Linked DNA regions of Callithrix jacchus. The protein of the gene in region 1 purifies or fractionates together with the protein of each later gene. This does not show direct contact. Links are inferred from orthologs where the notes say so. Each region holds a gene or a part of one and is shown in the gene's direction. Other genes may lie near its edges.

Region 1 (2,715 bases):
GGACAACAAGAGCAAAACTGCTTCTCCAAAATAAAAATAAAAAAAAAAAACAACAACTCAAGACCACAGGAAATTACACTGAGAGCCCCGAGCTTTTTCTGCTCTGTATAACATTCTTGGTTACTCTTTCTTTGATGGTAACTCTGGGCTGGGATGCATTTGGGAACAGCCAATGGCAGATTGCTTCTTGTCTTTTGGCCTTTGTATAACTAGAGACTCGGCCTTTATTTTTTTGTCGCAGGGGGCACGTGACTCAGGATGCACCCATTCCAGGCTCCCCTCTGTACACCATCAAAGCCTTTATCCCAGCCATCGACTCTTTTGGCTTTGAAACTGATCTCCGGACTCACACCCAGGGACAAGCCTTTTCTCTGTCTGTCTTCCACCATTGGCAGGTGAGAAAACATCGCAGGCTGGCTGGCTGCGTTGGCCTCACACCTCTGCAAGCCTCATCCCCTTCTGTCCTGATCCCCCTCCAAGCCCTAAGTGAGATGTACAGCATCCTAGAGAAGAGTCCTCTTCTGGGGAGCATATATTCAGGGCAACTTGAATCTGTGTCTCTCAGTTTAAAAAAAAAAAAAAAAATAGAGGACCAGCACAGTGGTTCACACCTGTAATCCCAGTACTTTGGGAAGCCAAGGCGGGCAGATCACGAGGTCAGGTGTTCAAGACTAGCCTGGCTACCATGGTAAAACCCTGTCTCTACTAAAAATACAAAAAAAATTTAGCTGGGCACAGTGGTGGGTACCTGTAATCCCAGCTACTCAGGAGGCTGAGGCAGGAGAATCACTTGAACCCAGGAGGCAGAGGTTGCAGTGAGCCAAGATCGCACCACTGCACTCTAGCCTGGGCGACAGAGCAAGAGTCCGTCTCAAAAAATAATAATAATAATAAATTTAAAAATAAAATAGGGACTAACACAGAGAAACCCTGTCTCTACTAAAAATACAAAATTAGCCGGGCATGGTGGTGCATGCCTGTAATCCCAGCTACTCAGGAGGCTGAGGCAGGAGAATTGCCTGAACCCAGGAGGCAGAGGTTGCAGTGAGCCGAGATCATGCCATTGCACTCCAGCCTGGGCAACAAGAGCGAAACTCAGTCTCAAAAAAAATTTTTTTTTTTTCTGTAAAATAAATAAGAATCCTGCTTCTGGGCCCAAATCTTCTGGGGAGTCTGCCTGGGCCATCTGAAATTCCTTTGTCTTTTAGATTGTCCCTGGTGATCCTCTGGACAAGAGCATTGTCATTCGCCCTTTGGAGCCACAGCCGGCTCCTCACCTGGCCCGGGAATTCATGATCAAAACTCGTCGTAGGAAGGTATGTCTTCCTTGGGCCTGTTACCATCCCTCAACCCCCCAGAACTCTCAGAAGTAGGATCTCTATGTCTGTCTTTTGGCCCCTTTTCCTAAAGGACCCTTTTCCAATGTAAACATGTGATCTGTATACTCTTGAGGCAACTAGACCTGGGCCCTAGTCTTGCTGTGGAAGGAGAGCTTTATCCTCCTATATGATAGTACCCTGAAAGCAGGGCTGCTGAAACAACACCACCTACATTCCTGCTACCACTAGCCTCACTGAGCGCAGGTCTTGGGTGGCCTCCCCACTCAGTCTGCCACCACCTCGGGCTTTCTTGTATTTTTCTTGTATTTTTCTGCAGGGCCTCAGTGAAGATGTGAGCATAAGCAAATTCTTCGATGATCCTATGTTGCTGGAACTCGCCAAACAGGATGTTGTGCTCAATTACCCCATGTGAGTGCACGGACTCCTGGCAGCTCCTGCTCCCTACAGTGAGTTGCAACTCCTGCACTTGAAGCTGAGACCTGGTATGACATGGCCTTCGTGTTGTTAGAGTGTCTGGAAGCTGCTGTTGGTGTCTTGAACAACTCACCAACCTCTAACCCAGAGCGCCAGTGAGAGAGGAGCATTTGGCCTCCTGCTTCCTTCTGTGCCCTCTGCCAGGCTCCATTTCCAAGGAAAGAGAGGAGTTTGCTTGGACTCACAGAAAGAGAAGCGGGGATGGAACCCCCCCATCTTTGGTATTTACATGGAATTTTATTTTCTACAAGTTTGACCTTCGCCATGGTTTGCAAGTGAACAGAACATTTTGACCTCTGTCTTGCTCTGTTCCTTTCATCCCCGTCTCCCCTGCCCCATCTGGTCCTGGTGCTTACATTCTGAATATATGTCATCTCCCAAGAGGCTTCACTGCCTCTGCTTCCAGCTGCAGCCTCCTTCCTGCCTGAGTCCCCAGGGAAGCAGCCTGCCTTTTAATTCAGTGTTCTCATGAGTATCAAGGCCCTGTTTTTGCCCCCTTGCTCCCACTCCATGCTGCTTCAGGGTGGGACCTAAGATGGCTTGGGAGTTGTTGGTTCCTGGGATCAGAGGTCTACCCCAGCACCTCAGGAAATTGCTGTCCCGCCCCCCAAGAATCTCCCTTGCCCTAGGGTATGGGGCCAGAGCACTGATTTCCAGCCATTTGCTCTAAGTCCTCTCCCCAGCCACCACCAGTCCCTTACTCTGTTCTCCCCAGTGAAAAAGAGTCTGTTGATTTTCCTCAAAACTGCTTTATTAGAAACATACCAGGGATTGATTTAGGGAAGTCGGACTGCCTTGGCTCCTATAGGAGTCCTACTTCTCTCCAACGTCCTGTGCCATCCTTTTGACATAATCGCTATACATTGTGTACACAGTCCCTGTGTGAGGGAAAAGAAGTCAT
Region 2 (4,447 bases), on another chromosome or scaffold:
CTCAGAGGTGCTGGAGGGGAAGAAAGACCTCGGCCTCCTCGGGAGCCCACCCAGCCCACCAGTGAGCAGTGGGTGGGTGGACAGGCTCTGGGGCCAAGCATCCCCTGCACTGCCCCGCACCCCTTCCCTGTCCGAGCTCCTCCAAGCCAATGGGCTTGGTCTAGGCTCTCCTATCTTCCCTCACACCGTGGACCCTGGGGTGGTGCTTGCTGTCGCTCCGGCTGCTTTTCCCTAGTTGGGGAGATGAAGCTGCTGGCACATTGACCCCTGGAGGAAAGGAGTGACTGGGAATTTATGTCTAGGGCTCCCAGCAGCCTCTCTGCAAGCCAATTTGGAAACTGCCCCCGGCCCTGCATTTTGGGGGGTTACGGAGTCTCTCAGCAGGCCCTCTCCTGCTGCTCCCAAATTCCAAGGCTGCACTGCTTGGGAGCACAGGACGGTGCAAGGAGCCCCCTCTCCACTTCCCGCTGTGTCCTCCGTGGGCGGGGAATGACATCCCAAAGGCCGCAGCAGGTCCTTGAGTCCTGTTTCCCGGCGGATGCCAGGACAGCAGGCCCTGGGAAGGGAGTTGTCTCCAGCCTTGACACGGCCCAGCGGTGTAGCCGCCGAGGGGAACTCAGCTCCCCGCAGTGTGCGGGGCACAGGGCGCCAACCAACCAGGGCCCGTGGCCCAGGGACACGCGGCTTGTCGGGGGGAGAACCTGGGCCCTCGCTCTCCCTTTCAGGGCGGGCACCGTGGACAGGCGAGGCCAGGCTGCCGGCTCCCAGGCATGGCGGAGGCCACACCGCTCCGGCTGCCGCCCACCCAGCCACGCTTGAGGAGCGTTCAGCGGCCTCCACCCCGCCCGGGAGGACGGGGGACCGGGGACCTGGAAGGGCCTGGCCCTGGCTTCCCTGCAGCGCCCTCGGAGGCCGGACCAATGTGCCAGAGCTGAGGGCCCAGGGCTGCGCGGGCGGCCCGGCAGCGTCCCCAAGGGCGACGCCCCACAAGTTTGCCTCCAGGGCCCAGCCAACCCCTAGGGGTGGGAAAGCGTCGGCCCAGCCAGAGGATCCAGCAGGGCCGCCCCCTTCACCCGTGGCCCACAGGTCAAGACTCCGCGTCCTCATCTCGGGCTGGGACCGCCTTTGCGTCCGCCCTGAGCGGGACCGTGGGATCCTGGGGAGCCCCGCCTCAGTGCTCCGAAGCCCCGGAAGAGCTACAGCTGCCGCTTCCGGTCATGACCGGAAGTGTCCGAACGGCATTCGCCCTCCCTATGAAATGACGCACTTCCTGCCTGAGGCGGCCGCTGTTCTCACGGTTTCCAGCAGGTGGCGCTGGGACCACGGAAAGCCGGCGCGGCGGTCGGTTAGCCCTCGAGCATTCTGGGAATTGCAGGCGTGGCCCCTCCTTTTCCTGTTCTCCTTGGTCAGTTCCGGTCTTGTTTCGCCAACAAATGCCGCGGTTCCGGGGCTGTTTCCGAGCCGGACGCCAGGGCCGCGGTGTCCTGGAGTAGAGAGGCGGACGCATGCGCACAAGACTACACGTCCCGACAGGCGTCGGGAGCGGCGGCCCAGTGCCTTGTGGGAGGTGTAGTTTTGCGGGCGTGGAAGCCGCGGCGCTCGGCCGGATGAACACTCGGTTTCCCAGAGGGCTGAGCGCGTTGCATGGGCGGGCGGAGCCGACCAAGATGGAGACGGCCGTGCCGCCTTGAGCTGGTAGGTTTGTGTTGAGGAACGACGGGCCGCGTGAGCCGGGTGAGCCTCCGGGAGGTCACCGAGCGCAGCTGAAGCCCCGCTGTGCTCACCGACCCCCGTACCCCGCGGCCGAGCCCTTGGGACCCACAGCATCCTCGTGAGTGTCCAGCCCGACTTCGCACCGAGAGCCGACTTGGCACAGAGAGTTTGTTCCCTGGCGGGGAGGTCTTGCTGGCGCATAGAGAGGAGAAAGGCCAGGCCCTGCCTTCATGTGGGCAAAGGGACGGTTTCCTTCAGCCTCCGTCCCTGCCGGCTCTAAAACGGACATCAGTGGGGGGTTCCGGGTAGCCCCTTTCATTTACGGGGTGGCTTCTTCACGGAGGAGAGTCACGCCGCAGAGGAATTGAAGTGCTGCCTCTGTTTGACCTGGTGGGGGGCACTAGGAGCCCCTTCTGGTACCCCTGACCCCATCCTTGTTGGGAGCACGGGACACATGTCACCCTGGCGGGCAAGGAGTCAGTGGATGGATGAGGGCAGTGCAGAAGGGTGAGGCCGGGCCGTCCTCTCCACTGGCAATGCCAGCTCCGAGGCACCCAGTCACTCCACCACTAAATGGGTGCGGGAGGCCGCTTGGCTGCCCCGCTGGAAAGGCGGTGTGTGTGTTGAGTGTTACACGGGGAAGGCCACTAGAGGTCGCTCCAGGAGCTACGCGGCTTTGCCTCTGCCTGTGAGGGCTGCTCGAGGTGATTGATGGGCTGACACCCCACTTTGTGCGATGCCAGGGCCTTGGCTGCAGATGTCTTGGGAGCTCCCGGGGCTCTCCCAGCAGATAGGAGCAAACCTTTTCCCCGATGACCAGGAAGGTGCCTGCTCTTGCTCACCCCCCAACAGCAAGCAGCTTATAAGTAGCTCTCCTGCCTGATCTCGGCCCTGGGTTCCAGCCCTGGGCGGCTGCTTACTACCAGAATCGCTTCGTAGTTCCAAGCCTGCCTGCAGAGGGTTGACGCGATTAAATTAAGTCACGACTCAGAAGTCCCTACCCTGGGTTCTGGCCTGTCAGGGACTCCAAAACCCGGGCTCAGGTCGGTCCTGCCTCCCACCTCTTTCACACATTTGCGCTCCGGTCTGAGGATGGTCCTCTCCCCCACCCCTCCCACCTGCAGTCGAGCAGCTGAACAGACGCATGCCAGGGGCACTCCGAGGCCTGAGACAACCATACCTGTGCCACTGAGGACCTTCATCAAGGTTCCGCCCACCTGGCTGTGCAGCCACACTCCAGTGTCAGCAGCCAAGGGAGGTGAGAGGAGGGCTGGGAGGGGGAGAGGGGCCTCCACCCTGTGTGGGACAGGTCTGCCGGCTGACCCTCCTTGTCCAGGGGCGGTTGATCTGCAGGAGACTCATTCTTAACACTGTTCCTGAAACGAATCTCCTGGGCTGTTTTGGTCTAGGTGTGACGTGGTCCTGGGAACGCATGGCTGAGGCAGGGACAGAGGAGCCGTCCCCCAGCGTGGAGGGGGAGCATGAGACGGAGTATGACACGCTGCCTTCCGACACGGTCTCCCTCAGTGACTCGGACTCTGACCTCAGCTTGCCTGGCGATGCTGAAGTAGAAGCGCTGTCCCCAGGGGGGCTGCCTGGGGAGGAGGATTCAGGCCCCGATGAGCCGCCCTCACCCCCCTCAGGCCTCCTCCTCCCATCTGCGGTGCAGCCGTTCCATTTGAGAGGCATGAGCTCCACCTTCTCCCAGCGCAGCCGTGACATCTTTGACTTCCTGGAGGGGGCAGCCAGGCGGGCCCCACCCCCTGTGGCCCACAGCAGCAGAAGTGACAATGGAGGCTTCAAGCGGCCCCTGGCACCCTCAGGCCAGCCTCCAGTGGAAGGGCTGGGCAGGGCCCATTGGAGCCCAGCCTCCCCCAAGGCGCCTCCAGTCCCCGACTACGTGGCACACCCCGAGCGCTGGACCAAGTACAGCCTGGAAGATGTGACCGAGGTCAGCGAGCAGAGCAATCAGGCCACCGCCCTGGCCTTCCTGGGCTCCCAGAGCGTGGCTGCCCCTACTGACTGCGTGCCCTCCTTCAACCAGGACCCCTCCAGCTGTGGGGAAGGGAGGGTCGTCTTCACCAAACCAGCCCGAGGGGTTGAGGCCAGACACGAGAGGAAGAGGGTTCTGGGTAAAGTGGGAGAGCCAGGCAGGGGCAGCCTTGGGATCCGTGCCCCAGATAGGGGCGAGGGCCCAGTGGAGCTGGCCCATCTGGCCAGGCCCGGTAGCCCAGAGGCTGAGGAGTGGGGCAGCCCCCACGGGGGCCTGCAGGAGGTGGAGGCACCGACAGGGCCTGTCCACGGTGGGCCTATGCCAGGCCTCCCACTGGTGGAGACGGTTGGCTTCCACAGTAGCAGGAAGCGGAGTCGAGACCACTTCCGGAACAAGGGCAGCAGCTCCAAGGGCCCAGGCGCTGAGGTCTCAGAGGGAGACGGGGCCGCCTGACCACACTGGCCACTGCCGTCCTGCTGCCTTCCCAGGAGGTCTGGCCAAGGGGCAGCTAGAGTGGGAGGGAGCCTGCATGCTGCCTGTAGGTGGCACCGGTGGCCCTGGGTGTCATCCTCCCAACAGACCTGGCTGAGGCTCCTGGGGTGGGCTGGAAGCATTGGCTACCTGGTGGGGACAATAAAGGTTTTGGGACTTCCTCAGGCTTCGTGTATATCTGGGCCCTGCTCACCCCTGTCGGCTACGAGGGGTCCCGCTTGGCTGCTTCCAGCCTCACCGCCAGGCCAC
Region 3 (3,647 bases), on another chromosome or scaffold:
CCTTTCCCAGGGTCCTGCCCCTGAGCCCATGCTCAAATCCAGGTCCACCTGCTGTAACAGTGGTTTGAAGAAGAAGGAAGTTTGTTCTCCTCTTATGTGTGAGTCTGAGCGAGCACTTGGGGGTGGTGTGGCCCCAGCTCTTTCCATCTTGTTGTTCAGCCACTGGTTCACGGTGCAAGGTGGCTGTCCCACCTCCAGCCATCACCTCTGCATTTCCACCAGCAAGGCGCTTCTTATTCTTAAGAACGTGTCACCACAGCTCAGCTCACATCTTACAGAGCAGAACAAATTCCCGTGGTCATACGTAAAGGAAGAAGGGGAAATGGGTGTTAGGGCAACCAGCAGACTCTACCTCCTGTCTTACCCAAGACCGCCTGTCCTGTCCACCCTAGACATCATCCATAAGTTCATCCGGGATAAGTACTCGAAGAGATTCCCTGAACTGGAGTCCTTGGTCCCCAATGCACTGGATTACATCCGCACGGTCAAGGTGAGCACCAAGAAGGCGGGGTGCTTGGGAAGAACTGTGGCTTCTTGCCCGACTTCTGCCGGTGTGAAGGGGCAGGTGGGGCTCACTCTTGAACCTGCTCCCAGAGGCCTCGGGGTCTGGAGATCATGGAAGGAGTGGACGGTGGCTCAGCGGCCTGCTCTGCCCAGCGTGGGAGGGACAGAAGCTGGACGGGACTTCCTCAGGGCTCCCCTCCTGCCCCGGTCTCCCAAGAGGGCTTCCCCTCTGGCCTGACCCGTGCTGCTCCCACTGTGGTTAGAGCCGGCAGCATTGGAGTTGAGATCCGAAGGTTGACATGGGACAGGCACGCGGAGATTTGGGGGAGAGAGACGTTTAAGTGCAGAGAGCCTGAGAGGGAACAAGCTGGGAGGGAGTGAGGTGGGGAAGGAGGGAAGTGGAAGAGGTCGGATCGCGTTGGGCCTCTGGGTCTTAGGAGAGATCCAAGGAAGGGTTTAGGGAAAGAGGGGCAGGTGCACGTGAGGCAGGGAGAGGAGGAGGTCCCCACACATGTCCAGGGAAAGATTAGGATGGTGTAAAGCCACAGCCCTAAGGAGTCGTGGGGCGTCCCCTACAGCTGTGTGGAGGATCCGAGAAGTAGAGACAGGACACAGAAAGACTGGAAAAGACAGCTGGGCTCAGGGGCCACGCCACTTATGAGCGGAGACAGGTGAGGCCCCGAACGCCCAGAAGCGTCTGTATTAGGTACAGGGCAGGGAGAAGGGTCGTGAGTGAGGTCACTATAGGTTTAATGATAAGGCATACATAATCAAGCGAGGGGGCCACCCCATAAGGCCACCTAGTCAGAGAGGTGGGCCGCGCGCAGTAGTAGAGGGTCATGTACAGAAAAGGGGTCCACTCCCATTAGGTCACCGAGGCAAGGAGGTGGACTGTGTGCAACAGGTGTCAGATGCAACACTTCTTATCTGGGGGCTGGAGACTTCAGAGGATTTCTAATAGAAGGATACTGTAAGCCAATGCAGTGGGAGCTGACAGACTTCTGCTCTTCTTGAAGATATTTTGTGGGAGGATGATTTGAGCTGACAGGCTGACAGGGTGTACAGCTGCCGTGACCCAGTCACACCCGAGGGGTTCTTCTCCCTCGGTTATTTGTGGGATCTCAGGCCTGAGGCCTACTTTCCACAGGAACTGGATGCAAGGTACTACCACTCCTTTTTCAGGAGGAGAGGCTCTTGCTCCAAGCCTGCCACACAGCATACGCCCTTTCAGGCAGGGACGCCACCACTGGGTCTTTGGTTCGTGTCCTCGTCTGGCTGTTTTCCCATGTACTGCTTCTGTTCTGTGACTGCTCTAGGCATTCCTCCTACTACAAACTACTATATGGTTATATAGAAATATTATATAAACCATCACTAAATGTGTTGGTACAGCTCCGACTACAATATCTACGTGATTATAGAGAATATATATATATATATGGCTATATAGACTATAATATTTACATGACTACATAAAAAGATCATAAGGAACTAAGTATGCTAGACATAAGTAGTAAGTATGATTTTATATGCTAGATATAGGTAAGCAGTAAGTTATACTTCAGGCACTAATTGTTCTGACTGTAAACTCATACACGATTACGTATAAAGGATTATATAAAGGAAATAGCTGAATAATAACACTATAAACTAAGACATTGTTCAGGCACTAATTGTGCCTGGGGTTTGCACAGCTCTCCTTCCTTGGTACCCATGTTGGGGGTTACCCACTGGACAGTGGTGGGGAAAGCCCCTGCAGGGAAGTGAGGCCACCGGATCAGTGCTCCCACTTGTCATGGGCCAGAGGCTTGTGAGGCCTCGGTCTCCCAGACGCCACTGTGCCCAGGCTCCATTTCCAGGTCAGCCAAAGCAGAGCAGAGAGTGTGGATGCTTCGGGTGGCAGAGGCAGGAGAGGCCCCCAGTGCAGTGACCCTCAGTGTAGACACCCTGACTTTCCCAGTGTCCCCAAGACAAGACCTGAATAGGTGCTGAGCAAGAGGTTCTCCAGCCCTCCTGAGCCCAAGCCTCCCTGTCTCTCTGCTCGCCCCCAGGAGCTGGGCAACAGCCTGGACAAGTGCAAGAACAATGAGAACCTGCAGCAGATCCTCACCAATGCCACCATCATGGTCGTCAGTGTCACTGCCTCCACCACTCAGGGGTATGTCCGCTGCGAGGGAGGACTGGGCCCGGGCTAGGGGGACTGCGGATTAGGCCGAAGCTACACACGCAGATGTGCATACAGGCACAAACACACACAGAACTGAGAGGGCGGGACTGGGGATTAGGCTGAAGCTACACATGCAGATGTGCACGCACACACACACACAACTGAGAGGGCGGGACTGGGGATTAGGCTGAAGCTACACATGCAGATGTGCACACACACACACACACAACTGAGGGCGGGACTGGGGATTAGGCTGAAGCTACACATGCAGATGTGCACACACACACACACATAACTGAGAGGGCGGGACTGGGGATTAGGCTGAAGCTACACACACAGATGTGCACGCACACACACACACAACTGAGAGGGCGGGACTGGGGATTAGGCTGAAGCTACACATGCAGATGTGCACACACACACACACACAACTGAGGGCGGGACTGGGGATTAGGCTGAAGCTACACATGCAGATGTGCACACACACACACACATAACTGAGAGGGCGGGACTGGGGATTAGGCTGAAGCTACACACGCAGATGTGCACACACACACACACACAGAACTGAGAGGGCGGGACTGGGGATTAGGCTGAAGCTACACACGCAGATGTGTACACACACACACACAACTGAGAGGGCGGGACTGGGGATTAGGCTGAAGCTACACATGCAGATGTGTACACACACACACACAACTGAGAGGGTGGGACTGGGGATTAGGCTGAAGCTACACATGCAGATGTGCACACACACACACACACAACTGAGAGGGTGGGACTGGGGATTAGGCTGAAGCTACACACACAGATGTGCACACACACACACACATAACTGAGAGGGCGGGACTGGGGATTAGGCTGAAGCTACACACACAGATGTGCACGCACACACACACACAACTGAGAGGGTGGGACTGGGGATTAGGCTGAAGCTACACACACAGATGTGCACGCACACACACACAACTGAGAG

The links. Proteins that work in one complex are often made in the same cells at the same time.
Region 2: the proteins of EFTUD2 (region 1) and TSSC4 purify together in Homo sapiens (affinity purification with mass spectrometry; 4 studies listed by BioGRID and IntAct, counting the BioPlex papers as one, with this or other methods). This does not show direct contact. The link is inferred for Callithrix jacchus from reciprocal best matches to the Homo sapiens genes EFTUD2 and TSSC4.
Region 3: the proteins of EFTUD2 (region 1) and PRPF31 purify together in Homo sapiens (affinity purification with mass spectrometry; 4 studies listed by BioGRID and IntAct, with this or other methods). This does not show direct contact. The link is inferred for Callithrix jacchus from reciprocal best matches to the Homo sapiens genes EFTUD2 and PRPF31.

What each region holds. Positions count from the first base shown.
Region 1 is NC_133506.1:85,259,516-85,262,230, reverse strand, and holds the end of EFTUD2 (116 kDa U5 small nuclear ribonucleoprotein component), read left to right. Parts: intron 1-241; coding exon 242-395; intron 396-1,208; coding exon 1,209-1,316; intron 1,317-1,656; coding exon 1,657-1,752; 3' UTR 1,753-2,111; downstream 2,112-2,715. Other genes in the region: HIGD1B (HIG1 domain family member 1B), read right to left, coding at 2,628-2,692. UniProt on the Homo sapiens protein: Required for pre-mRNA splicing as component of the spliceosome, including pre-catalytic, catalytic and post-catalytic spliceosomal complexes. Component of the U5 snRNP and the U4/U6-U5 tri-snRNP complex, a building block of the spliceosome.
Region 2 is NC_133511.1:129,467,955-129,472,401, reverse strand, and holds TSSC4 (U5 small nuclear ribonucleoprotein TSSC4), read left to right. Parts: upstream 1-1,646; 5' UTR 1,647-1,831; exon of another isoform or gene 1,832-2,837; 5' UTR 2,838-2,971; exon of another isoform or gene 2,972-3,122; 5' UTR 3,123-3,145; coding exon 3,146-4,159; 3' UTR 4,160-4,358; downstream 4,359-4,447. UniProt on the Homo sapiens protein: Protein associated with the U5 snRNP, during its maturation and its post-splicing recycling and which is required for spliceosomal tri-snRNP complex assembly in the nucleus.
Region 3 is NC_133523.1:47,301,090-47,304,736, forward strand, and holds part of PRPF31 (U4/U6 small nuclear ribonucleoprotein Prp31), read left to right. Parts: intron 1-392; coding exon 393-490; intron 491-2,555; coding exon 2,556-2,662; intron 2,663-3,647. UniProt on the Homo sapiens protein: Involved in pre-mRNA splicing as component of the spliceosome. Required for the assembly of the U4/U5/U6 tri-snRNP complex, one of the building blocks of the spliceosome.